5 linked regions of the Rattus norvegicus genome follow. The protein of the gene in region 1 purifies or fractionates together with the protein of each later gene. This does not show direct contact. Links are inferred from orthologs where the notes say so. Each region holds a gene or a part of one and is shown in the gene's direction. Other genes may lie near its edges.

Evidence for each region.
Region 2: the proteins of Isg15 (region 1) and Hspb1 purify together in Homo sapiens (affinity purification with mass spectrometry; 3 studies listed by BioGRID, with this or other methods). This does not show direct contact. The link is inferred for Rattus norvegicus from reciprocal best matches to the Homo sapiens genes ISG15 and HSPB1.
Region 3: the proteins of Isg15 (region 1) and Flnb purify together in Homo sapiens (affinity purification with mass spectrometry; 3 studies listed by BioGRID and IntAct, with this or other methods). This does not show direct contact. The link is inferred for Rattus norvegicus from reciprocal best matches to the Homo sapiens genes ISG15 and FLNB.
Region 4: the proteins of Isg15 (region 1) and Vcp purify together in Homo sapiens (affinity purification with mass spectrometry, with the first as the bait; 3 studies listed by BioGRID). This does not show direct contact. The link is inferred for Rattus norvegicus from reciprocal best matches to the Homo sapiens genes ISG15 and VCP.
Region 5: the proteins of Isg15 (region 1) and Eno1 purify together in Homo sapiens (affinity purification with mass spectrometry; 4 studies listed by BioGRID, with this or other methods). This does not show direct contact. The link is inferred for Rattus norvegicus from reciprocal best matches to the Homo sapiens genes ISG15 and ENO1.

The regions. Positions count from the first base shown.
Region 1 is NC_086023.1:172,064,939-172,070,768, reverse strand, and holds Isg15 (ubiquitin-like protein ISG15), read left to right. Parts: upstream 1-3,112; 5' UTR 3,113-3,250; coding exon 3,251-3,253; intron 3,254-3,878; coding exon 3,879-4,361; 3' UTR 4,362-4,400; downstream 4,401-5,830.
Region 2 is NC_086030.1:26,428,283-26,434,637, reverse strand, and holds Hspb1 (heat shock protein beta-1), read left to right. Parts: upstream 1-2,336; 5' UTR 2,337-2,470; coding exon 2,471-2,846; intron 2,847-3,507; coding exon 3,508-3,571; intron 3,572-3,682; coding exon 3,683-3,863; 3' UTR 3,864-3,998; downstream 3,999-6,355. UniProt on the Homo sapiens protein: Small heat shock protein which functions as a molecular chaperone probably maintaining denatured proteins in a folding-competent state. Plays a role in stress resistance and actin organization.
Region 3 is NC_086033.1:19,447,174-19,453,389, reverse strand, and holds part of Flnb (filamin-B), read left to right. Parts: intron 1-371; coding exon 372-498; intron 499-1,607; exon of another isoform or gene 1,608-1,803; intron 1,804-1,905; coding exon 1,906-2,042; intron 2,043-3,266; coding exon 3,267-3,460; intron 3,461-4,128; coding exon 4,129-4,242; intron 4,243-4,939; coding exon 4,940-5,083; intron 5,084-5,308; coding exon 5,309-5,432; intron 5,433-5,699; coding exon 5,700-5,860; intron 5,861-6,216. UniProt on the Homo sapiens protein: Connects cell membrane constituents to the actin cytoskeleton. May promote orthogonal branching of actin filaments and links actin filaments to membrane glycoproteins. Anchors various transmembrane proteins to the actin cytoskeleton.
Region 4 is NC_086023.1:62,010,664-62,016,879, reverse strand, and holds part of Vcp (transitional endoplasmic reticulum ATPase), read left to right. Parts: intron 1-596; coding exon 597-728; intron 729-2,549; coding exon 2,550-2,652; intron 2,653-4,932; coding exon 4,933-5,066; intron 5,067-5,146; coding exon 5,147-5,282; intron 5,283-6,027; coding exon 6,028-6,140; intron 6,141-6,216. UniProt on the Homo sapiens protein: Necessary for the fragmentation of Golgi stacks during mitosis and for their reassembly after mitosis. Involved in the formation of the transitional endoplasmic reticulum (tER).
Region 5 is NC_086023.1:166,005,372-166,011,587, forward strand, and holds part of Eno1 (alpha-enolase), read left to right. Parts: intron 1-57; 5' UTR 58-66; coding exon 67-151; intron 152-1,902; coding exon 1,903-1,998; intron 1,999-2,693; coding exon of another isoform or gene 2,694-2,752; intron 2,753-3,040; coding exon 3,041-3,099; intron 3,100-4,761; coding exon 4,762-4,831; intron 4,832-4,998; coding exon 4,999-5,132; intron 5,133-5,602; coding exon 5,603-5,825; intron 5,826-6,216. UniProt on the Homo sapiens protein: Glycolytic enzyme the catalyzes the conversion of 2-phosphoglycerate to phosphoenolpyruvate. In addition to glycolysis, involved in various processes such as growth control, hypoxia tolerance and allergic responses.

The DNA.
Region 1 (5,830 bases):
AGAAAAAAGAGTGAACCTCGAGCCCGAGCATTTGCGTGCTTAAATAAGGCGTGGGGGGGGGGGCGTGGGGGGGGCAGCGGCGGGGCCTGTGAATGCTTCTGGACTTCAGTTCCCACACTCCTCCCAGCCAATAGGAGGGCCAGACTCCAGTCCGGCCTGAGGCCCGCCCTCTCCGGTTGTTACGTGTAACCAGTCCCCAGGAAGACCGGGGTTACAAACGTGAACCCGACGCTGAAGTCCACTATCTAAGGGCAGTGCACCAAAAGGAGCTCTGCGGTTAGAGTGGTGAAGTAAGTGGGCGGGGCGGAGCTCCTGGCTCACTTACTTTCGGAAAGGAAGCATTGGGGGATATGGAATGAAGTTCATGTTCACCTCTTAGGAAATTTCTCCAAAGACTAGAAAACAAATTTTCAAGGCTGCGAAGCCAGGAGTCATTGCGTCTCCTCGCAGTCCTACCCAAGACTCTAGCAGTATCAAGACAGCCACTTGTCTGCTCAGCTGAAAATCATTTGCTCATGTGCAATGTTGTTTCCAGCAAGGAGCCTGTAACAAACACAGAAGCCTTGGCACAAGCTTTGGTAAAAAAGATGAACCAACACCAGCCACCGCGACTAGAGGGAGGTCAACTGGTTCTGCTCACCTATCTGATAGGTGACATCAGCTGATATCACAGGGCGGTGGAAGGACAACTTCATGCAATGTAAGGATATCAGTGGTGACAGAAACCAGATGGGATGATGTCATGGTGCTAATGATGTATTCTGAATTACCCCACTGCTAAGTCCAGCAAAGAAGAACTCAAAAGTTAGGGCAAGTTACACATGCCTTTAATGTAGCATTCAAGAGACAGAAGCAGGAAGAGCTTGGTGAGTTTGAGGCCAGCCTAATCCAGAGAGTAAGTTCCAGGACAGCTAGAGCTACATAGTGAGACCCTGTCTCAAAACACACACACACACCCAAAAATTACGGCAAATTCAAAATCTTTTTTTTTTTTTTTTGAAAGGAGAATAAGAAAAACGGCCGGGCTGGAGAGATGGCTCAGTGGTTAAGAGCACCGACTGCTCTTCCAGAGGTCCAGAGTTCAAATCCCAGCAACCACATGGCGGCTCACAGCCATCTGTAATGGGATCCGATGCCCTCTTCTGGTGTTCAGTGGTGCCCTCACTGAAGACAGCTACAGTGTACTCATATACAAAGTAAATAAATAAATCCTTTTTAAAAAAAAAAAAAAGACAGGGCCACTAATATTTTAATGGTTGCTACTGTTTTCATTCTGAGTTACACTGCAAGCCCTAGTTACTAGGCACAGCATAGCCTGCCAGCTGCCTCCATGTATTCACTCAATAGAGGTGGCCTGAGAGCACAGTAGGGGCTGGACACCCTCCTGGTGGTTCAAATCTGCTTTAGTTAGCCACAGAAAGAGGCTAGCTTGTTGGGTTAGAGAAAATGGCACTGTTTGTTTGTTTGTTTGTTTGTTTGTTTTTGAGACAAGGTTTCTCTGTGTAACCCTGGCTGTCCTGGAACTCACTCTGTAGACTAGGCTGGCCTTGGACTCACAAAGATCTGCCTGCCTCTGCGTCCCAAGTGCTGGAACTAAGGGAGTGAACCATCACCTTCAGCTTGAAAATGCCACTTCCACTGAGTAGTTTCAAAGTCTTCACAACTGATTTTTCGGAGAGATGGATGTTTTCAAGAGGCCAGGTACGGCACTCCCAGAGTATTCTAGAAATGTAGTATTCCAACACCCCAGATACACATACCCATGCCTTCTATACAAGAGTCAGTCCCTGTCTTGGGGTTGACAAGAAGGCTGGGCTGTAATTTTCGCAGCTATGGACCTATGTTGAGCCATATGAAGGAGTCTGTGTGGAATCCCCTGAACCTCTGCCTCCTGCAGACATCAGACAAGCAGGGGACATAGAGGGAAGAAACCTCAAGAACCACATCCCCTCTATGATTGCCATACTAATGATTAAGGTTTAACTTGTGAAATGGGCTGTCTTTGTTATACAGGCATTGGAAAGAAAGAAAAGATCCTACTTCTTTAATTTTCTTTTAAATATTGGGCTGGAGTGATGTCTATGTGGAAAGTGATTGAAGAAAACACTCGACATTAATCTCTGACCTCTACATGTACAAGAACCTATATGCAAAATAGATAAACAAAATTTATATACCCAGTTCCTTCTAAATTTCAAGGGCACCTGCACTCACATATACACAACGCCCCCCTAATACCTTATATCAACATAATTAAAACTAAACCTTAAGAAAAACCTGGGTGCTAAGTATATAACTCAATTGTTAGAACACTTACTTAGCATTCACGAAGCTCTGGGTTCTATCCCCAGCACTGCCGAAAATGACTAAAATCTCAGAACCTAAGCAGAAGAGACAGAAGGACCAGTTTAAGGCCAATTTCAAAGTGAGTTTGAAGTCAGCATAGACTACATAGCAAGACTACTTCAAAAAACAAACTCATCTGACTCAATGTATCTTTACGTAAGCAATAGTGTTTGTTTGTTTGTTTGTTTCTTCTCTTAGCTTTTCAAGACAGAGTCCTGGTGCTTGCTCTGTAGAGCAGGCTGGCCCTGAACTCAGACATCCACCTGCCTCTGCCTCCCCGAGGCTAAGATTAAAGGTATGCATCACTGCCCAGCTACAATAAGGTCTTAATAAACTATTACAGGATAGAAATGCTTCCTACAACCCCCCCTACCCCAACTCCCTATGCTTTGAAAACTATTGTTCTAAACTAATAACCAATATCTTTGGGTAATTCTGATTGTTACTATGTTATGTAGTTTCTTTATTATTATAACATTTTTCCAAGATAACTAATTTCCAAGCTAACAAATGGCAAATACGTTTTCTACTATTAGTTCCTGTTCTGACTTTTACATGCCTTACGCAGGACCTGAAGTGCTGGGAGTTTAGGGAGTTTTAGGGCACACGTCAAATTACAGACTTGACCCTTAAGAGCCTGTCTCTTTTCTTCCCAACTACACTTTTCTTTTCATTCAGTTTTGCTTTTCTCATCCATTTAAGGTGTGCCTCAGGAAAAGGAAACCGAAACAGAAACAGCTCTGGAGCCCAGAGACTCCGCCTCTTCACATCCACAGCTCAGACTTTAAGAGAGCTGACCCAGTGAGTCTCTCTCTGACTGTGAGAGCCAGCAGCCAGAAGCTGAGAGAAGCAGAGAGAAGCAGACTCCTTAGTTTCAGGGGACCTAGTGCTAAAGCCTACAGCCATGGTGAGTCCAATTTGGGGCAGAGGCAGATGGGCTTCATTCTAGTTGACTTTATTCTATTCCTCGATAGGGTCTTTCAGAGGCAGAATAGCCTCAGTGTGGGGACAGAATAAAGTTGCTCAAAGCTCACTTGGGGGCTGGGGGTGGAGTTGGGTTCTTTGCTCAGTTATCAGCCCTAGATCCCTTAGGGCTGGACCCAGAAGGATATCTTTGTGGGTGAACTGAAACAATCTGATGGTTGTGGGAGGCTGACCCTTTAAAACTGAGGCCTCTGTATCATACAATACTGGATGGTCCTCCCTGAGGAGAAGATGGATGTGGGACATGGGGGCTGGCCCTACGACCAGTGCTTTGCATGTGGTAACTCCCAGCCAAAGTTATTAAGCCAGTGGTTCTCAACCCATGGGTCATGAACACTTTGGGGGCCTGAACGACCTTCTCACAGGAGGTCCTTCTCGCAGATATCCTGCATACGGCAAGATCACAGTTACAAAATAGCAATGAAAATAATTTTATGGTTGGGGGTCACCACAACTCAAGGAACTGTATTAAAGAACAGAAGCATTCTATTAGAGTCGCAGCATTAGGAAGGTTGAGAACCACTACTAAATCCATGTAATTCTTGCAGACCTGGAACCTAAAGGTGAAGATGCTGGGGGGCAAGGAGTTCCTGGTGTCCATGACAAACTCCATGATGCTGTCAGAACTGAAGAAGCAGGTTGCTCAGAAGAGTGGTGTGCCAGCTTTCCAGCAGCGCCTGGCCCACCAAAGCGGTGAAATGCTACAGGATGGTGTTGCCCTTATCAGGCAGGGCCTTAGTTCTGGCAGCACAGTCATGCTGATGGTAGAGAACTGCAGCCATCCTCTGAGCATCCTGGTGAGGAATGAAAGGGGCCGCAGCAATGTCTATGAGGTCCAGCTGACACAGACTGTGGAAGTGCTTATGAGGCAGGTGTCCCAGCACGAGCAAGTCTCCCAAGACCAATTCTGGCTGAGCTTCAACGGAAGGCCCATGGAGGACAAAGAGCCACTGGGGGAGTATGGCCTAACACCCCACTGCACAGTGATCATGAATTTGCGCCTGAGGGGGGGAGGGGACTACTATTTCTAAGGCCCCTATCCAGAGCCAATGTAGGTAATAAAAGACAATACAATAAAAAGTTCTGCTTTCTGTTTGCTTGTCCCATTCAGAAATGCCTTCTTTCCATGGTGACAAGGCTCTGGGTTGCCAAGTTAAAAGACAAGGATTTCACAGTTAGAGCCTAGTGAGGACCCTTTGGGTGATTAATTCACTTCTGGAGAAAGATACTTTTACTGGGACCCAGTCCTGAGCCTCTGCCAGCATCTAAAAACTTCCCCAAGTCTACATGTGGCTCAGGGACACATCAGGTCAGTTCCTACCAGTAACAGGATGAGACTTCTAATAGGACCAGTTAACTGCTCAGATCCTTTGGAAACAGTGAAGGAATGTTCTTGGACCTATCTGGGTAAGCTGTGAAGGAGGCTGATATGGGTGTTCCCAGTCCCAGTTGCAGTAGACCACAGAGGGAAGGACAGGGTCTCACTACTCAAATCAGTCACCTGCTGTTTAGGACATGGTGGTTAGCAAGTCCACCTCATCAGGGCTATAAAGAGGCTACCTTAGGCAGATTAGATGGGCACCTGGGATTGGGGGCTCATCTGTCCACAAAGGAAATCAGATCTCAGAAAGGAGGTACCCAATTTGAAAAAGCTTCACCCCCTTCCTGCCTGATGGTTCTTTATCTTGTCTTTTCCTCTATCACAAGCCTTTGAGTCGGCTTAAGACACAAACAAGTCAGGGCAAGTACCTCTATGGCCCTTCAGACTTTTAAGAGAATTTGAACGGGGCTGGGAGATGGCTCAGTGGTCAAGAGCACTGACTTGCTCTTCCAGAGGTCCTGAGTTCAAATCCCAGCAACCAAATGGTGGCTCACAACCATCTGTAATAGGATCTGATGCCCTCTTCTGGTGTGTCTGAAGACAGCTACAGTGTACTCAGATATAGAAAATAAATAAATCAGAGAGAGAGAGAGAGAGAGAGAGAGAGAAAGAGAATTTGAACGGAGACTCAGAAGACCCCCTTCTGGTTGGTGTGTTTGTGTTTATCCAGATTAGGTGACCCCAGATCTAGTAATGCTGGAGCCCACAGTGTAGATGTGACCTCAAATCTTCCTTGACCACTTCCTTCCTTGAATCCTGGCAGGGTCCCGGTGGTGGAGTCTCTCAGGAGGAAGAGGTTCTGCCACTCACACTTCCCAATGGCTTCTGGTTCAACGGCCTATGGCCCATACACAGTCTTTGGAAGACAGAACAATGTCTTCTCTCTTTCCTTCAACCTTCTGTAGGTCTAGCGCTGGCCTGGCTCCCGTGGGCCTCAGTTTATACCATGTACCTTGCTAGGCCAAGCTGGGGAAGCGCTGGGGGAAAGGGAGGGGGGCGGGAACGTGGTAAGTTCTGTAGCAAGACTAGAGAAGACAGCTCTAGGTAGACAAGGTGCATCCCGCTGCCTTACCCAGCCAGGGGCCTGGTGGACAGGTCTGAGCGCAATTCTGAACAGTC
Region 2 (6,355 bases), on another chromosome or scaffold:
TCAGTGTAGAGCACCTACCTAGAATCCCCCAGTGAGGGGCTGGGGGCGTGGCTCAGTGGTAGAGCCCCTGCCTAGAATCCCCCAGTGAGGGGCTGGGGGCGTGGTTCAGTGGTAGAGGCCCTGCCTTGAATCCCCTAATGAGGGGCTGGGGCGTGGCCTATTTCCCAGTCCTGAGAAACATAGGCAGCAGGGTTGCTACAACTTTGAAAGCAGCCTGGTTTGTCAGGTCCACCCCCTGAGGGATAGGGATGACTGAACCCTACTGATGGTTGAGCCATGGTGGATAACAAATAACCAATAATTAACTATGACTCAGAGGCCCTGGGCTATATCTTCACTTATATGATGTCACTGACTCTCATGTCTGCCCGATGACATCAGCATTCGCGTCCTTGTCATCCCCATCTTGCAAGAGAGAGTAAAGAACGGAGAATGTAGCTTTTACAGACTCCCCCGCCCCTCCACAGAACCAGTGGAAACTCAAGCCGTCTGGTGGTCTGGGAGCTGACCTGACCCTCCCAGTGAGGCCACCAGGCTGTTTAATGTGACATTCCTGCTGTATGTGGTGGCAGACACTATGATCCCAGCGCTTCAGAGGTACAAACAGGAGGATCAGGAATTAAGGTCGTTCTTGGCTACATAGAGAATTCCAGACTACTCAGGGCTACATGAGACCATATTCTCAACAAACAAAAAACCCAAACAAAGGGTTGGGGATTTAGCTCAGTGGTAGAGCGCTTGCCTAGCAAGCACAAGGCCCTGGGTTCGGTCCCCAGGTCCGAAAAAAAGAAAAGAAAAAAAAAAAAACAAAACAAAAAAAACAAAAAGACAAATGGGGGACTTGAAAAATCCCAAAGTGGATAAAGAGGTGGCTGTGCGAACTTGGGGGCTGAGTTTTGGGTCTACAACTGAGGACATGGCTGCTCTGAGGTGTGGTTAAGGGGAAAGTTTTTACGGTGGATATGAGAGCATACAGTCAGAGGCGTCTGGAAGAATCCAGAGCAGAGAAACTGAACTGCATATGGCCAGCAGATTGGGTGTGTGTGGACAGGAGAGAAGAGAGATTGGGAGAGGGACAGATGCCAGCAAAGAGAGATGGGGCAAAAAAGACCAAGAGAGGGGGATGAGGGAGAGAGGACCAAGAGAGCACATACAGTCGTGAGAAGCTGGGGGAGGGGAGCCCCAAGAACTGGAGACGTTTATGAGTAAGGGGCAGGGTGAGAAGGGCTGAGAAGAGCTAAGAGTAGTATTTCAGTTGCCCAGTGAGCCCAGAGGCCAGTGCTCATTGGTATGCTAATAGACATCACAGGTGACCTTTAACCCTAGTTTCTTTTGTATGGACCACAAAGCAATCCATATAAAAGCTGGAGGTGGCTACCATGTGATGCCTCTAGCCTTTAATCCCAACTCTCCCAGAGGAAACGGCAGGCCGATCTGTGAGATCCAGGCCAGCCTAGTCTAATGAGTTCTAAGACAACCAGGACTACACAGAAAAATCCTGTTTTGAAAAAAGATCCTAATCCTAGCGCTAGGCTGGAGGGGTGGGGCAGTTGCAGAAACAGGAGGATGCTAGGGGGTTCACTGCCCATCCAGTTTGCAGGCACCAGGCTTGATGTCTCCCGAGAGATGGCTCAGCGATTAGGGGGACTGACTGCTCTTCCTAGTACCCAGGTTCAAATTCTAGCACCCGCAGGGCACTCCGAGATCTGACACTCTCTGTAGCTCCAAGATCTGACACTCTCACACAGACGTACAAGCAGGCAAAACGCTGATACACAAAAAATAATGTTTAAAAAAGCATTAAAACAAAAAAGAAAAACCCTGTCTCAAAGAAAGAGAGAAAGGAAGGAGGGAAGGAAGAGAAAAAGAAGTCTCAGGGTCAGTAAGATATTTAGTGGACGAAGGCGCCTGCCACCAAGCCTTTGGTCCCCAAAGAGACACATGGTAGAAGACAGCTAGTCTGGCTGGTCATCCAGAGACCTCCACAGGTGTGCCCTGACAAGTGTGTCCCCACAGGCCTCCTTCTGGCTCAGACCAGGTTCAGTTGCTTCCTAATTGCGACACAAAAGACCGTACCCCTCCTGGTTTATTCTCCACAAACGATGGGACTGGCCCCAGGCCACCGCCCTTCAGACTGCAGCGTTCTAAGCGACAGTGGGAACTGCTCCAGCTACCGGTATTACAGTCATTTGTTTTCTTCAACTAGAGAAGTTTCCAGATGGGGGCAGAACCTTCCTGGCCCTGCCTGCCCGCCCCCTTCGTAAGCTTAGGGGGAGGAATGCAGAGGGGAGGGGCGGCGAGGGACGGCCCCTTAGACGGTCATTGCCATTAATAGAGACCTGAAGCACCGCCTGCTAAAAATACCCGGCTGGACACCCATAAAAGCACAGTTGGGGCTCCAGCTCGGCACTTCTCGGATCCTCAGCCCAGTGCTTCTAGATCCTCAGCCCTGACCAGCTCAGCCAAGACCATGACCGAGCGCCGCGTGCCCTTCTCGCTACTGCGGAGCCCCAGCTGGGAGCCGTTCCGGGACTGGTACCCTGCCCACAGCCGCCTCTTCGATCAAGCTTTCGGGGTGCCTCGGTTTCCCGATGAGTGGTCTCAGTGGTTCAGCTCCGCTGGTTGGCCCGGCTATGTGCGCCCTCTGCCCGCCGCGACCGCCGAGGGCCCCGCAGCAGTGACCCTGGCCGCGCCCGCCTTCAGCCGGGCGCTCAACCGGCAACTCAGCAGCGGTGTCTCAGAGATCCGACAGACGGCCGATCGCTGGCGCGTGTCCCTGGACGTCAACCACTTCGCTCCTGAGGAGCTCACAGTTAAGACCAAGGAAGGCGTGGTGGAGATCACTGGTGAGTTTCCCTTATCCCAAGAGGGGACGAAGCTGGTGGGGCGAGCGAGTAACGTGGTGGCAGTGGAGGTGGGGGGTGGGGGTGGGTGCTGAAACCATGAGGGACAGGACCCTGAAAAGTTAGAAATGAGCTCAGGGACCCGGAGACCCGCGTCATTCTCCCTAGCCTGCTTCTCTTGCCCCGGAACGCGGGGTGCAGGTTTGCTCCTAAAAGCTCTGTCATCTTCGATGATAAGGACCAACAGCTGGGGGTGTAGCTCAGGGCAGAGTCTTGCCTGGCAAGCCCGGAGGCCTTGAGGCCTTGACCACCCGCAGCACAGAAACAAAATGAAGGAAGACCCAAGGCACCTTCTGGAAGACCTCATCCCCAAATAAGCAAGTGGCAGGACTCCAGTCAGGGTCCCTAGACCCAGCCGCGGTGGGGGCGTGCGCACAGCTTCGAGTATGCCTACGCTGGCATCCAAGCCTGGGTCAGAGCCAAGCCCAGGTCCGGGACCTTTGCATCCCAAATCTCAGAAGCGAACTTTCTGGAAAGTTTTAAGATCCCAGACAGTCAGGCATCCCACCACACTCTTAATTTGTTTGCCTCCTTGGGGCCCCAGCCATTCCTTAGCTAGGACTGCAGAGGGCTGCCTCTGACCTCCTTCTGTCCCCACCCACAGGCAAGCACGAAGAAAGGCAGGATGAACATGGCTACATCTCTCGGTGCTTCACCCGGAAATACACGTGAGTTCTGGTTCCTTGCATGGAGAGCTGGGGGGTGGGGGAGCGGACCCTGGGCGGAGGGCGGGGTCAGGAGGGATGTGTAACCCTTGTCCTTTGTTTCTGCTCCTCTAGGCTCCCTCCAGGTGTGGACCCCACCCTGGTGTCCTCTTCCCTGTCCCCTGAGGGCACACTCACCGTGGAGGCTCCGCTGCCCAAAGCAGTCACACAATCAGCGGAGATCACCATTCCGGTCACTTTCGAGGCCCGTGCCCAAATTGGAGGCCCAGAGTCGGAACAGTCTGGAGCCAAGTAGAAGCCTTCAGCTTGCTACCCATCCCCAGTAGCCGTCACCAGCCCTCCCTCTCTGTCAATCTGAATGCTCTTTTGATACATGTACTTTCTGTTTTTCTCAAATAAAAGTTGGAAACTACTGCTCACCACCCTCTCAGAATCCAGAGTTGTTATGGTGGGCTAGGGATGAGTGTTTCTAATTGGAGCACCCTTTGGGGTCTTTGCTAAGTGTTTGCTCTAGGCTCAGCCCCTTCCTCCGTCCAGCCTAATATTCCCCTAGGAAGAGGCAGGGGGTGGGGTGGGGTGGGGGGAGTAACCTGGAGATTAAATTTACCAGACTAGGAATGGTGGTATATGCCTGTAATTCCAATACCCAGAAGTTAATGCAGAAGCATTGTGAATTGGAAGCCAGCCTGGGCTACAGAGTTCTTAGAGTGACTGGGCCACATACATGCTGTCTTCAAAACCAACCAGACAAACAAACATAATAGGAGCTTGGGGTGTGGCTCAATAGAGTGTCCTATGGTGTGCATGAAGCACCATTTGATCCTCTACATCAAATAAACCGGGTACGGTGGCACATTCCAGAAGTGGAGGATCAGAAAGGAGTTCGAGGTTATCCTGGGCTACGTGGCCAAAGTGAGGCCAGCCTGGGATACATGAAAACACCTTAAAGGTAAAAAAAAAAAAAAAAAAAAAAAAAGAGTCAGCCAGACCTACTACTCATCAGATCCAAAGGAAACTCCTCCCCCAGCTGCTGGCTCTGTTCTCTATTAACAGCAATTTCCTTGTCCCCGCTAGTACAGCAAAGCGCTAACTTCCAGGCTTCCTCCGCATTAGGTACCTATGGATCCCCCAGCTCTTCTCTCCCCACCCCTACCCTACACTCCAGCTCCCAGGCTTCCCTCCCACAGCCTCTCATTCTCCTATGACCTTCCCATTTCAGCTATGCAATCTCCCGTCCCATTTTACTTTCCTCCTTGATCTCTCTTGCCCACACGTTTCGTCTCCCTCTCCCGCTCTCCCTCACTCCTACCTCATGGTCAAGTCCAGTCCACTGGCCATGGCCAATCTACTACTTTCTCTCCCTGCTCTGCACTCTTCCAGATGCCTCTGGCTGTTCTCTTCCCCTTGCATCTACAATAAAAACCTTCCCCTCAGCCATACCTTGCACGGGTCATGCCTGACTCTATACATCTTATGCTGAAACCCTCAGTTTATAACGTTCACACCTCTACCCTCAGCACCTCTGAGACTGGAAGATCAGGAATTCAAGGTCAGCCTTGGCCATACAGCACAGTCCAAACCAAACTGTTTTGAAACTCTATCAGTACCACAAAATAAACAAATACAAGTTTAAAATACTATTAAAAGCAACGCTCTCGGGCTGGAGAGATGGCTCAGCGGTTAAGAGCACCCAACTGCTCTTCCAAAGGTCATGAGTTCAATTCCCAGCAACCACATGGTGGCTCACAACCATCTGTAAAGAGATCTGATGCCCTCTTCTGGTGTATCTGAAGACAGCTACAGTGTACTTAGATATATAATAAATAAATCAAAAAAAAAAAAAAAACACCTTATTTTAAAAAAAAAAAAAAAAAAGCAACGCTTTCCAGAGGCCAGGTGCAGAGGAGGAGGACTGGAGAGAAGGTACAGGAAGGGTGAGCCATTCCTGGCAGCTCCCTGAGGTGTTGGCCCAGTCAACCCCACCTGCAGACACCTGCAGAATGGAATGTGGGCTCTCAGCAATGGGCAGAGAATGAGGATTGGGGGCGACATCTTGGTCAAGACTGAGAGATTGCACTGAATAGCTTGCCTTGACTAGCGTTGGCCTCTGTCAAAGTGATTACACAAGCTTTAACTCCACCCTTGTGTGCTTGGCTTTGCCCATCCATCATCCTCCAGGAGGCCCAGGGAGGGAGCTGAGGGACCGCAGGGGCCTTTGCCCCAGAGTCTAAGGGATTGACACTGGACGGGATGCTCAGTGGTTAGGAACATGGACTGCTCTTTTGAGAGGATCTGAGTTCAGATCTCAGCTCCCACATCAGGTGACTTCACAACTTCCTGTAACTCCAGTTCCAGGAGAATTTAGGCCTCTGGCCTCTGAAGGCAAGCACACAAGTGCACACACATATATATATATAAAGATTTTTTAAAGTCTTTTTAAAAAAAATTACAGGAATGCAGCCAGGTATGGTAATATAGCTATGTAATCCTGGTATTTAGAAATTAGAGGCAGGAGGATACAGTACTCTGGGCTAGCCTGAGCTACATGGTAAGACCCATCTCAGAAAAGCCCAACCAAGTCTGTTAAGATGGTTTAGCACGGGGTTGGGGATTTAGCTCAGTGGTAGAGCGCTTGCCTAGCAAGTGCAAGGCCCTGGGTTCGGTCCCCAGCTCCGGGAAAAAAGAAAAGAAAAAAAAATAAAAAGATGGTTTAGCACAGAGAGGCTCTTACTGCCAAGCCTGATGACCTGAATCCAATCTCCTCATCCTCCCATACCCCCAAAAGCT
Region 3 (6,216 bases), on another chromosome or scaffold:
AGTAATCATAAAGATGACCTCCCTTTCCAGTGTTTGTGGGGCAGCAAGGGGGCTGTGAGGTGGGGGCTGGAAGGCAGTTGGGACTGGGGGAGGGGGAATACTGAGACCCAGTAAACAACCCATCTGGCCTGGAACCTCAGCCTCCACCAGCCGAGAGCTTTTTGCATGGAGTTAGCTGGGAAGTCTTCCATTTCTCTCTCTTGGAGGCTGAGAATGGCTCTGGTTTGAGTTTTGGAAAAACCTCTCCCAGCTTTAGAGGGGGATCTCACATTCAGAGTTTAACTTTTGTAGGTCGCCTGTGTTTTGTGGGGAGTCTCCTTGTAAGCCAAGGATTATACTGCAAAGGCTGTGTGCTTGCTTGCTTTCCACAGAGGGCCTGGAGGAGCTGGTCAAGCAGAAGGGCTTTCTGGATGGGGTCTACTCGTTTGAGTACTACCCCAGCACACCAGGGAAATACAGCATTGCAGTTACTTGGGGGGGACACCACATTCCAAAGAGGTGAGTCCGGGTTGGAGAGGGGCCTCATCTAGAGGTATGTTCAGCCTGTGACAGGCTCACAGGAGCCCACTGCCTCCCAGGCTGCCAGAAGGAAGAGAGATCGGCTTTGTTGAAGCCTCCCTCCCTCCCCTCCCCACCTTTTCATCGCAGCACAGACACTTGGCTTTCTCTCAAAAGCAACAGAAAGTCGCTGTGGTTTCAGCTGCCCTGCTTTAAATCAAATGCCGGTGGTTTGTGCCTGTGGGAGGCAGGGGAACCAGAAAGAGGTGTAATGGAGAGCAAGTGGGCTGTGTGTCTGTCTGTACAGCCTTACAGAAGCCGAGGCTCTCCTGCTCAATGAATGCCTCTGTTCACGAGTGCCACAGGGGCACAGCGGGCTATGGTTCACATAAAAACCCATCCACAGGATCGCCATCAGGGACAAGGGATCCCTGGGCACAGCGTTGCCTGGGGCTATAGCAGTTTCCTCTTTGGACCCCTGTGCTCTGACGCTCTCCTGAGGGCAATTTAAACGTTGAATACATTTTGTTTGTCTAGAGAAATAATTGAGCATTATAGTAGCCCTCCCTTGTCCATAAAAGTTACCTTCTAAAACCATAAATATATGCCTGAAACCAACCCCAGACAACGTCATGTGCTGGGTTACCCCCCCCCCCCAGACTTGTACACCCATGAAAAAGTTTAATTTATAAAATGCACACAATAAGAGACTGGGAGCACTAGCAAGGAAGCAGCAGAATGAAAGCTACATGAATATGCACCATAGTTAATGAACTACACCATATTGTGCTGGACTTCCCCTTCTTGTGGTGTTAGATGACGTAATGAGATAAAGGGGAAAGAATAACGTAGGCACCGTGGCCAAGCACCGGTCTGCTATTAATCTCATAACGATACACACACTGTAGACCAAATTTGAAACTTAAGAAAATAAAACAGAAGATAAGGGGGACCTCTTATAAGGCTTTCAGTGTCTGAGCACTCTTATTAAAAACGTCCCTTGCCAAAGTTGAAGCATGTTCGATCACATACGAATGAACTGAAGCCTGTTCAAACGACTTTTCTGGTGATAGCATAGGTAGGAGAAAGAGAAACGTGGACATTCTTACCTTTAAGGCTCCCGCTCTAGAAGGCCCTGCCTACCAAAGGTCACTCACTAATGAGCTAACCAGAGCAAGTAGTGTGTTGCTTGAGTGACAGCCCAGTTACCCCCAGCCCCTGAAGCAACCATATTACATTATATTGTTGACATAACAATGGCTGTGGGGGTGACCAGTGTGGGGGAAGAAACTTACTTGCCTAGAGTTTCAGCCTCTGCAAAAGAGCAGGCAAATGGAAAGAATTATGTTAAGAGTTCATGGTTATCTCGAACCCCTTCTATGATCCTCTTCTGTTCCTTCCTTCTAGCCCCTTTGAAGTTCAAGTTGGCCCTGAGGCAGGCATGCAGAAAGTCCGTGCATGGGGCCCTGGACTCCACGGTGGCATTGTTGGTCGGTCAGCAGACTTTGTGGTGGAATCCATTGGTTCTGAGGTCGGGACTCTGGGTAAGTAGAGGCAGCTGTCCCCACAGCTTCTTTAAGGCTAAGAGTCATGAGGTGGGCCTAGTGTTAGCTTCACGTGGCCTCCCAGCTACCCAAGACCTCCTCTGGATGCTGTATCGTTCTAGGTCTTCTTTTTCCTTCTTGCTTTCAGTTGTCCAATGCCTGTGGCATTTGATTATTTATTTATTCACCAGTTCCCTGGGAATGGGGCAGTGGTTTGCTAAACAGCGCATACAATATCACACTGGTAAACACTGGTAACTTACACTTAAATTAAATAGGTGCCTCGGTACAGCTAGCTGAAATTTGAAAAAGCAAATATATTATTTGGCACGAAGCTGAATATATTTTAAGTGGTTGCCTGACAAAATGTGTGATCGTTACAGATTAGAAGTCAAGCTTTTTCTAGAAAGGGCCACATACCCAGTCTCTTTTCCTTGGCTGTGACATGATCTCTGTCACAATTATGTGATTGCCATTGTGGCTTAGAAGCAGTTATTAAACACACAAATAAATGGGTATGCCTACTTTCCTGTAAAACTCTCTCTAGAGGAATAGGCAGTGAGCTGAATTTGGCCAGGGAGCTATATTTAATGACACCCATTTAGTTATAGCAACAAGCAAAAGAGGGAAAAATAGTAGGAATTATATATACTTTCCACCAGTAGGAAGATTAGTCACTTTGGAGCATGCTTGTAGTTTAAGGAAGTAATTAACCTTTTAGTCTTCTCTTAGGCCCCTTTCCTGTACACACTCATAGCTTTATACCTTTATGCCCCAGAGGAGTGGGGGTAGCTGTGGGATTTTGTTATGTTTCAGTCTATTCTTAGGCTTGCTAGTCATATCCAAGATCTTGTTATATGAACAGTGCTGAGTGTATAACCTCACTTAATTTACTCAGATAAAAACTCAGAAATGGGTTTAGACAAAGGAGTACTTGTTTAAGGCTTCTGGATATGTTGCTGTATATCCAATAGAAGGGTTTTTCTGGTCCTTGTATACCCCTGCCCCGTGTGCACCGCCTTCTGACTCTTCTGTCATCTGAAAACCAGAAATATCCGCCTCTAGTTAAGAACCAGTGACCTTGGTTTTTTGGAAGAGACACACTGGATTTCAGTTTTCTACTCACTACTTGCTTTCCAGGAGGCAGAGAACCGATGGTAGTAACCTAGGTTAGATAATTCTCACCATGTGTAACCAGGAAGGCCCTTCCGCCTTGTCCCCCAGGTTTTGCCATCGAAGGTCCTTCCCAGGCAAAAATCGAGTATGACGATCAGAACGATGGCTCATGTGACGTCAAATACTGGCCCAAGGAACCTGGAGAATATGCCGTTCACATCATGTGCGACGACGAAGACATCAAGGACAGCCCATACATGGCTTTCATCCATCCTGCCACAGGAGACTACAACCCAGATCTAGTGAGAGCACTCTCTTCTCTTATCCTGTCTCCCCTGTGGCAGACAGGAATGGGTTAGATGTTGGGAGAGTCGTGTAACTCTCTGAGTCTCGGCATTTTTCTCTATGGACCAGGAGTGAGAGCATCTCTCCCAGAGCTTCTGGGATGGTTAAAGGACATGCCTGTCCTGTGGAAGAGGCTCATCTTGCCACCTTTTATAGCTACCTATAGACTACCGTCAATGGCCAACTTGTGGCACTTTCTTTGACCTGTGGTGGCTGCAACCTTCAGTCCCTCGAAGTGGGAGCCTTGCATTCAGGCACATCTAAAGATCTGCCAGAAACTAGAAATTCTTTCTGTCATTTCAGAGTACAGCAGGTAGCTGGGTTAGTTTGGGTTTTGTTTTAGAGTGTTTTCTTCTTCAAGGACAGCTAGTAGTGGTATTTATTTATTTATTTTTTTTTCGGAGCTGGGGACCGAACCCAGGGCCTTGCGGTTGCTAGGCAAGCGCTCTACCACTGAGCCAAATCCCCAACCCCAGTGGTGTTTATTTTTATTTAAGTTTCAGCCTACTTTGCGATTTTACTTCCGACTTCCATCCTTAACTAAGGGCCAGGCATTTTGTACACCCTCCCTTCCAGCCCATTCTTTAACTCAGAAAAACAAATCATTATTCGGTTTTTGCCTCAGGTCCAAGCATATGGGCCAGGTCTGGAGAAAACTGGTTGTACTATCAACAACCCAGCTGAGTTCATCGTAGATCCTAAGGATGCCGGGAACGCTCCCTTAAAGATACTGGCTCAGGTAAGTATCTGGGCCTGGGGCCGCTTGCCCTTGTCAGGTCAGAGGTATAACGTGAGGTGCTCAGTGTGTCTGGTCCTCCGCTCTCTCCCGCACACCGGGAGCAGTAATAGTATCCCACAGACAGTATGGCGTGAGGACTACATGATCGGATATAAACCAGGACATTTTTCACGATGATATCAGTGATTCACGCTCTGTTAAAAGAAGGCTTTTTTTTATTTCAGATTTTTCCGTAATGTCTTTCAGTTTGGCTGAGTCTATGTAATTCCTAGTAGGTTTGTGGGCAAAATTTAGATTATCGTGTATCTGATTTAGTTAAAATGAGCCGAAGGACTTCAACTCTGGGATTGAAATGAAGTGCTAAGTGGCGCTGGCTTTAAGCGGGAGAGAAGATAGCGTTTATTCTTAGTAATTATAAGTGAGTAAATGAAATTGGGCACAGCATGGACATGATCCCCGGTAATTAGGAGGCCCAAGGAAAGACACCGAGATCATCCTAAGTAAGCTGGTGATGCCTGTCGCGTTGGGGGGACGGTTTGGTTTTATTTGTTGTGAGAGCGCATAGCACACTGTAATCGCCGTATGGTTTTCTAAGACAAATTGGTGGTATCTTGGCCATCCGTAGAAGCCTCAGTGACCCCCTTTCAGCGGAGACACTTCGAGGAGTGCTTTGGTCCATGCTCTGGTTCTTTTGCAGGATGGGGAAGGCCAGCCCATTGACATCCAGATGAAAAGCCGGATGGATGGCACCTATGTCTGCTCCTATACCCCGGTCAAAGCTATCAAGCACACCATAGCTGTGGTCTGGGGAGGGGTGAACATACCACACAGCCCCTACAGGGTAAGTTGTGGTCATCCTGGTCATACGAGAAACCCTGGCTGTGTGTTGAGTCTGCACATTGTGTATTGATGACCAAGGCAGATGTATAGAAGAAAACCATTCTGGGTAGGCCTTGAAAAGAGACTTGTCCTAAAGGACAGAATACTCTGTAGACTTACAAAACGGCCATTTCTAGTCTTATGCTGGATCCTAGTATGTATTTTTCTGGGTTCATGTCTTTCCTAGGTCAACATTGGACAAGGTAGCCATCCCCAAAAGGTCAAAGTGTTTGGACCGGGCGTGGAGAGGAGTGGTCTGAAGGCAAACGAGCCTACTCACTTCACAGTGGATTGCACGGAGGCTGGGGAAGGTGAGCTTGGGTTTATCCACCCCAGTGATTGTCGCTCCTCTCAGAAGAGCATTCTTACAGCATTGGAGGGCAGAGAACTCTCCTAATGAGCTGTGTTGGCTCCTTGGCGATGTGTTAGCCAATCCTCTGTGCGACCTTTTCCAAAACGCTGATTTGCTACTTCTCCTTTCTGGGGTTGCCCTTGCTGTGTGCCAGCCCAAGCTGGAAGTGACTATGCAAGACGTGCCCTTGCTTGCGATCTGGTCCTAATAAGACGGTCTGTTCCAGGTGATGTCAGTGTTGGTATCAAGTGTGATGCCCGAGTGTTAAGTGATGATGAGGAAGACGTCGATTTCGACATTATTCACAATGCCAACGACACGTTCACAGTCAAATACGTGCCTCCCGCCCCTGGGCGATATACTATCAAGGTTCTCTTCGCATCGGAGGTATGTTGGGGCCTACAAGCGACAGAGTGGAGTGAGCCTTATGCATCCCTCCTTTTTGGATCGTTGTTTGTTCAGCAACTGAGAAAAGTGCTGAGAACTGAGAACTGTTTCTCTGTTTTCTTAAAACCAAAAGGGGTTGGGGGCGGGGGTGCTAAGCTGAGTTTTCACTCTTTTCTCTAGGCTGCAGCTGACTCGTTAAAAGCGTTCATTTACTAAGGGTTTGATTGAAAAGTTAGGCAACTTCTAGATGCACTTCACTTTGACCTCTTAGCAGTAACTCTGGTCTCTGCCCTTAAACTTTTATAGCAAGAGCTTTTCGAAGCATCAGCTGTGTTTAATGGTAGCCCTGTGAGGAG
Region 4 (6,216 bases), about 110 Mb from region 1:
TATGCTGTGTGACTGATTGCCACGGTTCTCAGTGGGCTTCCAGAACAGGTTTAGGCAGAGTTGGCTCCAGTCCAACTGTTCTCAGTTCTGAGTTTCATGGGGTTTAGGCTCATTCAACCTTACCAGTTCTTTTGTCTGGTGGTACAGTCCACTTGCCCCACACCTCAGGGTAGGGTGGTGCCTTTATGAACCAACTCCCAAACCCCGCTCCATTCAGGATGGGATGTTGATAAACCCAGTTCTGTGTAGGTCAACTTTAGTTTAGGGATCCCTTTTCAGTAAAATAAGGACTGCTCATAAGAGAGCAGTGTTTGGGTGTTTTTACTTTGTTTTATTTTCCTTTTACTGGGTATTGCTGTATAAGCTGACTGCAATTCACTGTGGCTTAAGCTGGCCTCACATCCAGTCTTTCTGCCTTCCAAGTACAGAATTTACAGACATGTTACCTGGCTTAAGACAAGATCCCTGCAGAAGAGAATCTTCTCACACAACATATTTTTTTCCATACCAAATAGTGGGAGGACTTGGAGAAATTGTATATTTGCTGACAATATTATTCTGGTTTTTGTTGTTGTTTTATACTCTTTTATATTCAGGATGAGGAGGAGTCCTTGAATGAAGTAGGCTATGATGACATCGGTGGTTGCAGGAAGCAGCTAGCTCAGATAAAGGAGATGGTGGAGCTGCCACTGAGACATCCTGCACTCTTTAAGGCAATTGGTGTGAAGGTGAGTATCCTAAGATCTGTGGGGAGTCTAAGACAGTGCTATAATGTTTTCTCATGGTGTGACTGATGCCCTAAATGGCTTAAAGGGGCAATAATAATCTTTGGGTTTATAGAAGGCTCTAAAAATTCATTAGAGCTATAGATTGTCATGTATATGTATGTACGCGTATACACACATAATATGCTTAAACAATGAGATCTCCCATGGATCGTATTAAAATTTTAACCATAATTTTGCCAATATTTGTAGAGTATTACTCAATAAAAGAAGGAAATTAATCGAGTTTTCAGATCCTGAGTTAAACACCTGAGAACCACCACCTGTCTAGAATAGTTTTTTGACCTTTTATATGTAATAGAACACACTAAAGATGAAGTGTGACTACTTTGCTTACTAAGCATACAAGTGGTTTTGTCTTGAGGGCAGTTTCAATGTCTTGTGGATAAGGCTGCAGACAACTTACAAGAAAGGTGCAGTTGATTATTTTAGAAGAAAAGACATGCCTTCATTCTCTCTGAGGCAGAGGCAGGCGCATCTATGAATTTGAGACTTGACAACCATATCTACAGAGAGTGGTTCCAGGACAGCCAGGGTTGCACAGAGAAGTCCTATTTGTCTGTTTTAGGAAAGGAATCTTGTTTTGAAAAAAAGACATTCTAGGGCTGGAGAGATGACCAGCAGTTAGAACAGTGACTGCTCTTCCAGAGATCCTGAGTTCAATTCTTAGGAACTATCGGAAATACCACTCAGTAGCAAAATTAGAGTTATGAAGTAGCAATTAAAACTTACGGTTGGGAAATCCTAAGACATCAGAAATAGGTGTTTTCCAGTGATCGTGACCCACAGATTTAGAACCACTGTCCTAAAAGGTTGTAAACACATGAGTGAAGAGCTCTAACCCTGAAAAACAGACCTTGCTTTAGTAGTAAGTACCTTGCATCCTGGTTTGTCCAAAGGGAAATTATTGAGGCCTTGGCATAATAACTTATTATTCACTGTCCTTCCAGTTTGTAAAGTCCCCCAGGTGTGACTTTTTAAAGGTGGTTCTTTTTTTTTTTTAAGGTTGTTCACTATTAGTCTCCTATGCAAATTGAGTTTATAAATGTTAGTGTTTATTTCCAAGGAGAGAGGGGGTGGAGGGGGAGAGGGAGGGAGGGACGGAGAGAGAGGGGGAGAGAGAGGGAGAGAGAGAGAGAGAGAGAGAGAGAGAGAGAGAGAGAGAGAGAGAGAGAGAGTGTGTGTGTAGCAGCAGACAGGGCTTCTTTCTTTATGTATCCTTAGCTATCCTGGAACTCGCTATATAGACCGGGTTAGCCTCAAATTCAGAGACCTACCTGCCTCTGCCTTGAGTTCTGGGATTAAAGATGCAAACCACATCTGGCTCTTTGTGTTTTCTTTTGGTCTCCCATTGTAAGTCAGTCTGGCCTCGACTATGCAATTCTTACTATTCTCTTCAGCTGGGTTTATAAACGGGTCTCAAAGGCTTGTGTGTTCTTTTTTATGTGTGTGGCTGTTAGTTTCGTTAATGTATATGTAGACACCACAAGCTTTCAGTATCTACAACTGACCAGAAGAAGACATCAGCTAGATCCTCTAGAACTGGAGTTACAGGTGGTTGTCAGCCACATCCACAATCAGTGGAAGAGTAGCCAGTGCTCTTAAATGCTGAGCCATCCCTCTAAACCCCAAAGACTTTTTCTTTATGGTATCAGTATAGAGCCCCGTTTCTCATCCCTCACTAGAGCTCTAGTCCAGCTACTTTTGGATGGGGGGTTGGGGGAAGGTAAACTCCTGACCCTAACTGAACTTTGTTGTCCTCAGCCTCCTCGGGGAATCTTGCTATATGGACCTCCTGGGACAGGGAAAACCTTGATTGCCCGAGCTGTGGCAAATGAAACTGGAGCCTTCTTCTTTCTGATCAATGGTAAGAAACTTGGTCCATCTTATGTCTGACTAGACCCATTTCTGAGTGGGGCATCTCATGGAGACATCATTTGCATACCCTTTAGCATATTAAGAAAATTATTTTATGACTTAAGGTTATTGGTGGGTTTTTTGTTTTTTTTTTTGTTTTTTGTTTTTTTTTTTGTCTGCATGTCTGTGTACTATGTATTTGCAGTACCTAAGGAGGCCAGAAGAGGGCATCAGATCTCCTAAAATTGGAGTTATCATGAACCACTATGTAGGTGCTGGGGATTGAACCCTGGACCAAACAATCAATGCTTTTAACCACTGAGTCTTCTCTCCAGCCTAAGTTTAGCCATTTTTGTGTGTGTATGTATGTTTGTTAATGTATTGTGGTATGCGTGCACATGTGTGGGCTTCAGAGGATAATCTCATGGTCTTCAGGTGCAGTCTACCTTTTTAGAGACAGGGTCTCATTGACCAGGAACTGTTAGTGTAGATTGACTAACCAGATAGCTGCAAGAATCTGCCTATCTCTCCAGTGCTAGATTTACAAGTTTGTGTGCACCATGCCTGTTTTATTTTGTTTTAACATAGATTTTAGGGATCTAGCCTGGGTATGCATGCATCTAAGGCAGACTCTTTAGGCCCTGAGCTATCTCTGTAGCCTCACTTAATCATTTTCTGATGAATGAGTGTATTATGGGAAGATAAGCAATAAGGGGAAGGCTTTTGGTGGGGGGGTTGGGGTGGAAAAGGGATAGGAATTGAGATATGGTCTCACTGAGTGGTATTGTTGTAATTTTAAAAGTGTTAGTATTTCTCTATTCCTGGCTAGCTCACAAATGAAACTGAATCTAAGATTTATTTAATTCTATCGGTTTGGTTCTCTGGGCTTCAGAGCTGTCTTCGGGACCCCTTCTGGGACCCCTTCCTCAATGCATCCCTTCCCCACCCCACCCCCCCAAATCCCCAAACTGGTGGAAGTCCTGACCTATTTTCTCTTCTCTTCTGCCCAGCCATTGGCTGGTTAGATTTTATTGACAAGTCAGAATAAATGGGGAGCAATGTATACACAAACTTGTAATAAGCATTACATTCCATGTCAGGATTTCACATAGATATGGGGGGTAGAAAAAAATCAGCATCTGAATAATGCAAGGGTAATCCTTTTATTTTTTAAAAGATTTATTTATTAATCTTATGTAATGAGTACACTGTAGCTATCTTCGGACACACCGGAAGAGGGCATCACATTACAAATGGTTGTGAGCCACCATGTGGTTGTTGGGAATTGAACTTAGGACCTCTGGAAGAGCAGTGTTCTTAACCTCTGAGCTGTCTCTCCAGCCCCACAAGGATAATCTTTACACAGTACACAAAAATATTTTGCCTAGTGTGTGGCCCTGACAAGTTTTCTTGTAGCCCAGGTCTGTCTTTCCTTCCCTTGAGAAAGATTGTGAATAAGGCATTTAGGGAACAAGCTGTTAGGATAAATCAAGTTTGTTTGTTTTGAGGGTTTCTCTGTGTAGCTCTGGCTCACTCTGTACACCAAGGTTGGTCTTGAACTACACCTGCTTCTGCCTACCAAGTGCTGGGATTAAAAGGCATGTACCACCATCCATGCACAGCTAAAAGGTTTATTTTTATCTGAGAATATTTGTGTGACTATGAGCTGAGGGATCATTGTTTGTCTTTAGAATGATACTTAGATTATTAGAGGTCCATTGATAATTAGCCTCTTACCAAATCATCTTTGTCATCCTAACAGAAGTATATAGAGCCATGGTCTTTGTAGTCTGACCAGGTAACTCTTACTCAGTAATGGGTGGAAAGGGCTATTAGGCACAGGGATTACTGCATTCTTAACTCCGGACCTGTATTTAGGATAAGGGAAAAAAATAAAAGTTTCTTTAGGGATTGGGGGAGGACAGGTTTTTGTCATTGTTTTTAAAAAATAACTTATTAATTTACTGTGTTCTTGGACTGGAGAGCTGATGGATCAGTGGTTAAGAGCACTGATCTTCCAGAGGTCCTGAGTTCAATTCCCAGCAACCACAGTCATCTGTAATGGGACCTAATGCCCTCTTTTGGTGTGTCTGAAGACAGCAACAGTGTACTTATTTATATAAATAAAATAAGTAAGTCTTAAAAAAAATTATTGTGTGAAAGTCAGAGGACAAGTTGAAAAAATTAGTTCCTTGTTTCTGCCACGTTGGGTCCAGGATTGGCAATAAGCACCTTGACCTGATTAAGGCATCTCACTGACCCTGTCATTGTCTACTGTGTATCTCTTGAGGTCCTGAAATCATGAGCAAATTGGCTGGTGAGTCTGAGAGCAACCTTCGTAAAGCCTTTGAGGAAGCTGAAAAGAATGCTCCTGCCATCATCTTCATCGACGAGCTTGATGCCATTGCACCCAAAAGAGAGAAAGTAGGAACCTACCCAATGGGATGGTAAGGACTTGTGAGGTCCTGACCTAGCTTCTGACCAGACATACTACTGTCTTACAGACTCACGGGGAAGTGGAGCGTCGCATCGTGTCTCAGTTGTTGACCCTTATGGATGGCCTAAAGCAGAGAGCACATGTGATAGTTATGGCAGCAACCAATAGACCCAACAGCATTGACCCAGCCCTACGGCGATTTGGTAAAGACCTTAAATTTTTTTCCTACACCACCCTTTTTTTTTTTTTTTTTTTTTTTAATATATAAGACAAGAGTTTCTCTGTGTAGCCCTGGCTGTCCTGAAACTATGAATACCAGGCTGACCTCAAACTCAAGAGATTGACCTGCCTCTGCCTTCTGAGTGCTTGGGATTAAAGTTGTGCACCACCATCGTGCAAACCAGCCTGTCCTTACTTGTTGATATATTGTAGGGTATATTGTTGGTATGTCTGTTGGGCTTGATTTCCTTATCTCACCTATGTCTTTAAGTTACTTAATCCTCAGAATTTAAGTTCTTTGTCATGACAGGACCTAAGGTTTTTTTTTTTTTTTTCCATTCTGTGTTCTCTCTAGGGCACTCCCTCAACCTTTCTAGTGCTGCGACCCTTTAATATAGTTCCTCATGTTGTAGTGACCTTCAATCATAAAGTTGTTACTACTTCATGGCTGTAATTTTGCTACTGTTATGAATTGTAATGTAAAATATTTGTCATAGAGGGTATTTGATATGTGACACCCACTCCCACCCCCGTTAAGTGGTTGTTCTGTCCCAGAGGGGTCGAGATCCAGGTTGAGAGCCACTGCTCTAGAGTAACTATCTATTTTTTGCCTAAGTCTGAAAGATTTCCAGGTTGTGAGGCATTAATGCTAACTTTAAATAAGAGAGTTCTGGAGTGACTTCTGTGGACCAGAAACTTCCTATTTTACATTCCTTTATTGTCCCATAGGTCGCTTTGACAGAGAGGTAGATATTGGAATCCCTGATGCTACAGGACGTTTGGAAATTCTTCAGATCCATACCAAGAACATGAAACTGGCAGATGATGTGGACTTGGAACAGGTGGAGTGGTGATGATGGCTGGCCAGAATTTAGGATAACTCTGTTGTAGGAGGTTGCAGGGGACTACATGCATAGA
Region 5 (6,216 bases), about 6.1 Mb from region 1:
AATAAACCTTCTATATTAGAGTTTATGGGTAATATATGAACTATTTTCCCCCTACAGAACTTCACCATGTCCATTCTCAAGATCCATGCCAGAGAGATCTTTGACTCCCGCGGGAATCCCACCGTTGAGGTGGATCTCTACACCGCAAAAGGTACACGAACCCACATTATTTCCTGGTCTCTTGCACCACAGTTTATTGATAATGTGATGGGGAAGCAAGGCAGAGTCTGATCTACTCTGATCCCTCTGAGCCTTCCACCCACTGAGCCATCTGCCACCATGTCTGGCTTTGCTTCTTGGTATTTAAGACAGGATGTGGGTTGGGTAGGTCACCGGGGCAGGGAAGTAAGGGAGGGCTTAAGCCCTGGCTCCTGAAGAAGCCTGGCCTCCTGATCGGATCAGCCAATGGAGGGGGAAGCCTTCTCTCCCCACATGAAAGGAAGGAGACAGCCCGGAAGCTCTGCTTTTTCCTCTAGGCCAAGCTACCCATGGTGAGGAACTCGTGTGTTATAAGGGAGTGGGGATATAGTTTGGCAGAGCATTTGCTTAATATGTGGGAAGTCCTAAATTTAAATCACAGCATTGCAAGGAGAGATTGGCTGGGTGTGGCAGCGACTACCATAAATCTCAGCACTTGGGCCTGCTCAGGAGGGAGGATTGCCAGTTTTGAGACTAGCCTGGGCTACATAGCAAGGCCCTGTTTCTACTACTCAGAGACAAAACAAAAAAAAAGCCCACCCCTGCTGATTCCAGCATCTAGATGTAGAGATGCATGTAGTGGGTGCCATAGGAAAGAGGCCTGGGGAAGATGTAGCAACGTCTTACAGAGCTCACAAGCTCACCAGTCTGGGCTGAGTCATTGTGTGACTCAGAATTCAAGCACCAGAGCCCAGCCCTACCTACCCGTTGTCCCAGGAAATGAGGGATCCTCAAATCACCAGCATGTGCCTGCTTGTTGGCCGCCATTGTCTTTGCCAGGGGTTCTCAGCTGTGTTCTGGCAATGTTTCCTGGTGAATACCAGGAATGCTAGGTAGCATCAGGTGTCAGATAGCAGGGTTTGGCTCCACCTGCTGGTGACATCGTGCATGACAAGGTGTCTGATAGCAGGAGATGGCTCCACCTGCTGGTGCAGCTTTACCCCTAAATTGACTTTTTTTTTCTTTTCTTTTTTTTTTCTGGGGCTGGGGACCAAACCAGGACCTGGCACTTCCTAGGCAAGCGCTCTACCACTGAGCCAAATCCCCAACCCCCTAAATTGACATTTAAACAGTCAAACAAGACGGGTGTCTTAACTGTAGCTCTTTAGAATCTTTATGCTTTCGCCTGCCAATGAAAAGCGCTTTTTACGATAATTAGTTTATCTTGCCATAAGATTTCCTGTGTATGTAGCCTACACTGAAGTCAAGTCCTCAGTCTTAGGTGCTGAGATTGGAACTGTGGACCAAGATATTTGGGGAGGTGATTCAGTTAGGAAAATGCCTGCTGTGCAGACATGAGGCTCAGCGTCCAACCCCCAGGACCCACATAAGAACCCAGGCCTGGGGATTATGTGTCACCCTAGTCCGTGTACCCAGCTTTTGCACTGTGAATCTATGTGTCTGTGGCCACTGACAAGCCTTGCCTCACCTAGGCCAGGACCATCTGGATATGCAGGAAGTCAGGGTGGGCACAGACAGTGCTACCTTGCATGTCCCTCACTCAGGAAGTTGTGTTCACTCTGTATAAAGAGTGGTGTGGAAGACTCAGGCGGGTGAGAAGGCTGTCGTGTTTCTGAGTGAGGATTTACTAACTGGGGACTTGGAGGTACAAGAATTTCTTTGGTCCCAGTTGGCTTCAGACACGGATCCTCCTGTGTATTGGGACTGCCCAATGTTGAATTTCTTTCCCCCCACTGTTCCCAGGTCTCTTCCGTGCTGCGGTGCCCAGCGGTGCGTCCACTGGCATCTACGAGGCCCTAGAACTCCGAGACAATGATAAGACCCGCTTCATGGGGAAGGGTAAGGATAGGAACTTAGTCTCATCTGCACGCACCAACCTCTTCCCCTCCCAGGCATTCACCCACAGCACTGCTGAGCACTGCCATCAGGAAAGCAGCAGGGCAGCTTACCCTCGCCTTCCTCCCACAAGGGACTGATGCCGTCACTGGTGTCCAGTTGACAGGATCAGCCTGATCAAACAAGCTCCCAGATCTCTGGCCTTCAGATCTTTAAGATTGGTGTGGCTCTGACCTTTGTTATGTAAGTGGAGTCTGCTCCCCCCCCCAGGTGCTGCAGAGTTGGGCCCTGCCCTTTTCTCTGATAACACCCCCCTGCAGAGTCTGGCCTTTCTTTTTTTCTTTTTTTTTTTTTTTTTTTTGGTTCTTTTTTTCGGAGGTGGGGACCGAACCCAGGGCCTTGCGCTTCCTAGGCAAGCGCTCTACCACTAAGCTAAATCCCCAACCTCCAGTCTGGTCTTTCTAGGGAAAGTCCATTACTGTAACCAATAGTGGTGAGAGCGGGAATTGAAATCTCCAAAGAGAGGTTGTGTCAGGGGGTCTCAGGGCTAAGGAGCCAGCCAGCATTAGAGCCAGCCAGCATTAGAAGCCTGACTACTGAAGCACCCCTGCCTCCTTCCTTCACTTTCTTTCCTCTGTGTCCTCTGAATCCTTTCTCTCCTGAGTCTTTTTCCTTCTCTATTCACCTCTAATGGGTAGGCGTCTCCAGACCTGTTAAATATGTTAATGAGTTCCTGGCACCAGCCTTGTGCACTCAGGTAACACGCTGGGCATCCTGGTGTGCAGCTGGGTTTCCCAGTGCATGGTCTTGAACTAATACCCCCCCCCAGCACTCTGGTCATGGCTCTTGGTGTGGCTTTAACCCCCTGGGGTGCTAGGGAAGAGGACTCAGACTGGGACAGAAAGCCCCATTCTGGGGGATGGGGGTTTAACAAGATCCTGTGGAGGCTCTTCGGGCTTCTGGGCCCAGGACTCCGGTGCTCCAGCGAGGCTGCTCAAGCCTGTGTACTGTAATTGTGTAAGTAATTTCATGATTGTTCTTCTAGGTGTCTCAAAGGCTGTTGAGCACATCAATAAAACTATTGCACCTGCTCTGGTTAGCAAGGTAGGACCCATCCCCTGTAACTACTGTGTATCCATGCCACCAGAGCAAGGGCCAGGCCTCTCCTCTTCACAAGAATTGCTTATTCTGAGAGCTTTGGAAGCTGGCATGAGTCTAACCTGCCTGCTGCCAGTGTGTGCCATTGCTTCTGAAAGCGCCTGAATCTGGGGCAGGGTGGGGAGTGCTTGACATGTTTCCATATGCTCTCCTGACCTTTGTGTGTCATGGGACTTTGTTCAAGGCAGTAGTGGGACTTTGGAATTTATTGCTCTGTTGGATGGCTTTGTTACAGACTGGGTGGGACTGGGGATGTAGGTGGAAGCAGGTGCCTGCAATTCTAGTATAAGGAGATAGAACTCCACCCCAGCCTCCATCTTTTTTGATGTGTACATACTGAGTGCTAAGCCCTGAATTCAACCCTTTCCCCACTTTAAAACATCCTCATTTGAGGCTGGAAGGGAAGCTCAGTAGAGCAGCGCTTGCCCTTCAGGAGCTGAGGTTGGTCCCAGCACCAGTGTGAGGTGGCTCACAGCCAGCTGAGATTGTGGCTCCAGGCATAAGGCACTGTACCTGGTCAGTGTGAGGGACATGGGCCACAGCTTGTCCCTGGACAGTGTGTGTGCTGCCTTTGTGGTCCTATCCCAGTCGCTTCTCAGAGGGACCACCGGCCATCATCATCTCTGTTTGCTAACATTTAGTTCCTCCCTCTTGAATCACAGATTGGCCCTGTATCATCCATTTTGTCCCCAGCGAGCCTGTAACAAACACTGATTGGTTCTTTGTCTGGTCCCCAGACAGTTGCTCATTACAACTGCCGGCTCCAGTCTCCTGGGCGCCTCCTTGTGCGCCCACTGTCCCGTCATCCCTAGGCCCTCCTTGAATTGAACACTCTTGGGAGGTTTAGCCTCTGGGAACTTTCTGCTTGGGCAAATGTTTGCCTTCAACAATGCCTTGTCAAACAACAGCAAGGGCTGACCACTCACACGCACAGCACCGCAGGGATGTGTATTTTACATAGTGTCTGTGAATGAATATACAGTGATGTACTTGCATGTGTAGTATGGACCATGTGCATGTCTGGGGTAGCCAGGAAAGAGCATAAGATCATTTGCATTAGCAACAAGTGTTCTAACAGCTGAGCCATCTCCAGCACCCACATGCGCTGTTTGATTGAAACAGTTTATTGCTTCATATAACACTCCCCAAAATAGCCATGTTTACCAATCAAGTATTTGGTAAGGTGATCCTGGACAACCTGTGTTCTCACCAAACAATGGTGTTCTGTCCTTGTCTTGGCCAAGAGCTTTAGAGGTGGTAGCCTCTGCAGACCTCTGCCTGCTTGAATGAACAATGAACTTTATTAATTTTTATCCAAGAACACCCTTGTGTGTAGCCTAGGTAGACTGTAGTCTTTGAACAGGAAATGCCTGGAGCTGTTGAATAGAGCGAGTGAAGCGAGGTTTTGTTTTCTCTCTGCTCTACCCCTTCAGGGTGTCGAGCCAGTCTTTGGCAAACGTTGAGAAGCTCCATTGCTGAGCTCTACTCCCAGCCCCATGGCCACAGACTTAGTGCACATAATTCCCAGGGTTCCCAGGGTTCTGAAGAGCTGCTTGGTGGGAGAGTGGGGTCAAGTGGTAGCTGAGCCCTCACTTCCTGTCTCTCCAGAAACTGAATGTTGTGGAGCAGGAGAAGATTGACCAGCTGATGATCGAGATGGACGGCACAGAGAATAAATGTGAGTGCACAGGGGGAGCTGTTCCTCAGTGGTCGGTTGGAGATTCGTAATCAGCCACTTGTGGATTCAACACGCGAATCTCCAGGAGGGCGGGTGGGCCATTTATGCAGCCCAGTGGGAAACAGGCTAAGAAATGGCCCCTGCTCACCATTTTCATTCTATTCCAGCTAAGTTTGGTGCAAATGCCATCCTGGGAGTGTCCCTGGCTGTCTGCAAGGCTGGTGCCGTGGAGAAGGGGGTGCCCCTTTACCGTCACATTGCCGACTTGGCCGGCAACCCTGAAGTCATCCTGCCGGTCCCAGTGAGTGACTTTGACACTAAGTCTGTCTTGTTTTCCTTTCTGTTGCTACAGTAAAATATCCCAAGAAAAAGCAGCTGGGGAAAGGAAGTGTTTGGTTTATTACCGTTCCCGACTACAACCCTTCGTATTAGAGAAGTCAGGGCAGCAGTGAAGCCTTAGGTTACAGTCAGGGCAGACAGGAAGCTGGCAGGACTGCACCTTCCTTCCATCAGCGTTTGGGAGGGTCACAGTTAGCACTAACCATGGCGGGGCTGAGAGTGCGGCCATAGGTACCCACAAGGACCCTCCTGCTTATTGTGTGTGTTGATGCCCAGCACAATAAGGGGATAATTCTTAGAAGAGTCCTAGTGAGCATTTGGAGACCGCGTTCATAGGGACCAACTGGCAGCTATGGAGTTCAGGGGCTTCATGCCCTGTGGTGGGTCTCCCTTGTCCTCCCTGGGTGGGTGACATCACTCCTGTCCTCCTAGGCTTTCAATGTGATCAACGGCGGTTCTCATGCTGGCAACAAGTTGGCCATGCAAGAGTTCATGATCCTGCCTGTGGGGGCATCCTCTTTCCGGGAAGCCATGCGCATTGGAGCAGAGGTTTACCACAACCTGAAGAACGTCATCAAGGAGAAGTACGGGAAAGACGCCACCAATGTGGGTGATGAGGGTGGATTCGCACCTAACATCCTGGAGAACAAAGAAGGTAGAGACGTTGGGAACTATGTTGTGCTGTCCACTCGACCTGCCGCTTAAGAGCTTTGGGGGTTTTGGGTTTTTTTTGTTTGTTTGTTGTTTGTGTCTTTGCTATATTATTGGGTAGCTGGAGGCAGGTCCTAGATCACCTAGAGCTAGAGTTCATAAGTAAGCCACCGTGTGCTGGTAATTGACCTGGATTCTAATTTTGTGTATGTGGGTGCGCCTGCCATCAGCATGGCCATCCATCCACTGTGGCCTGGGGACTCAAACCTCCATCAGCCATCTTACAGGCACTCTGTGACCTCAGACCTGTATAGAATGCACACCCAGCTCTGGGGTCTGGCAGGTAGCAGAAGGTGTATGTCTACTCTAATACTCTTTTTTTATTCATTTATTAT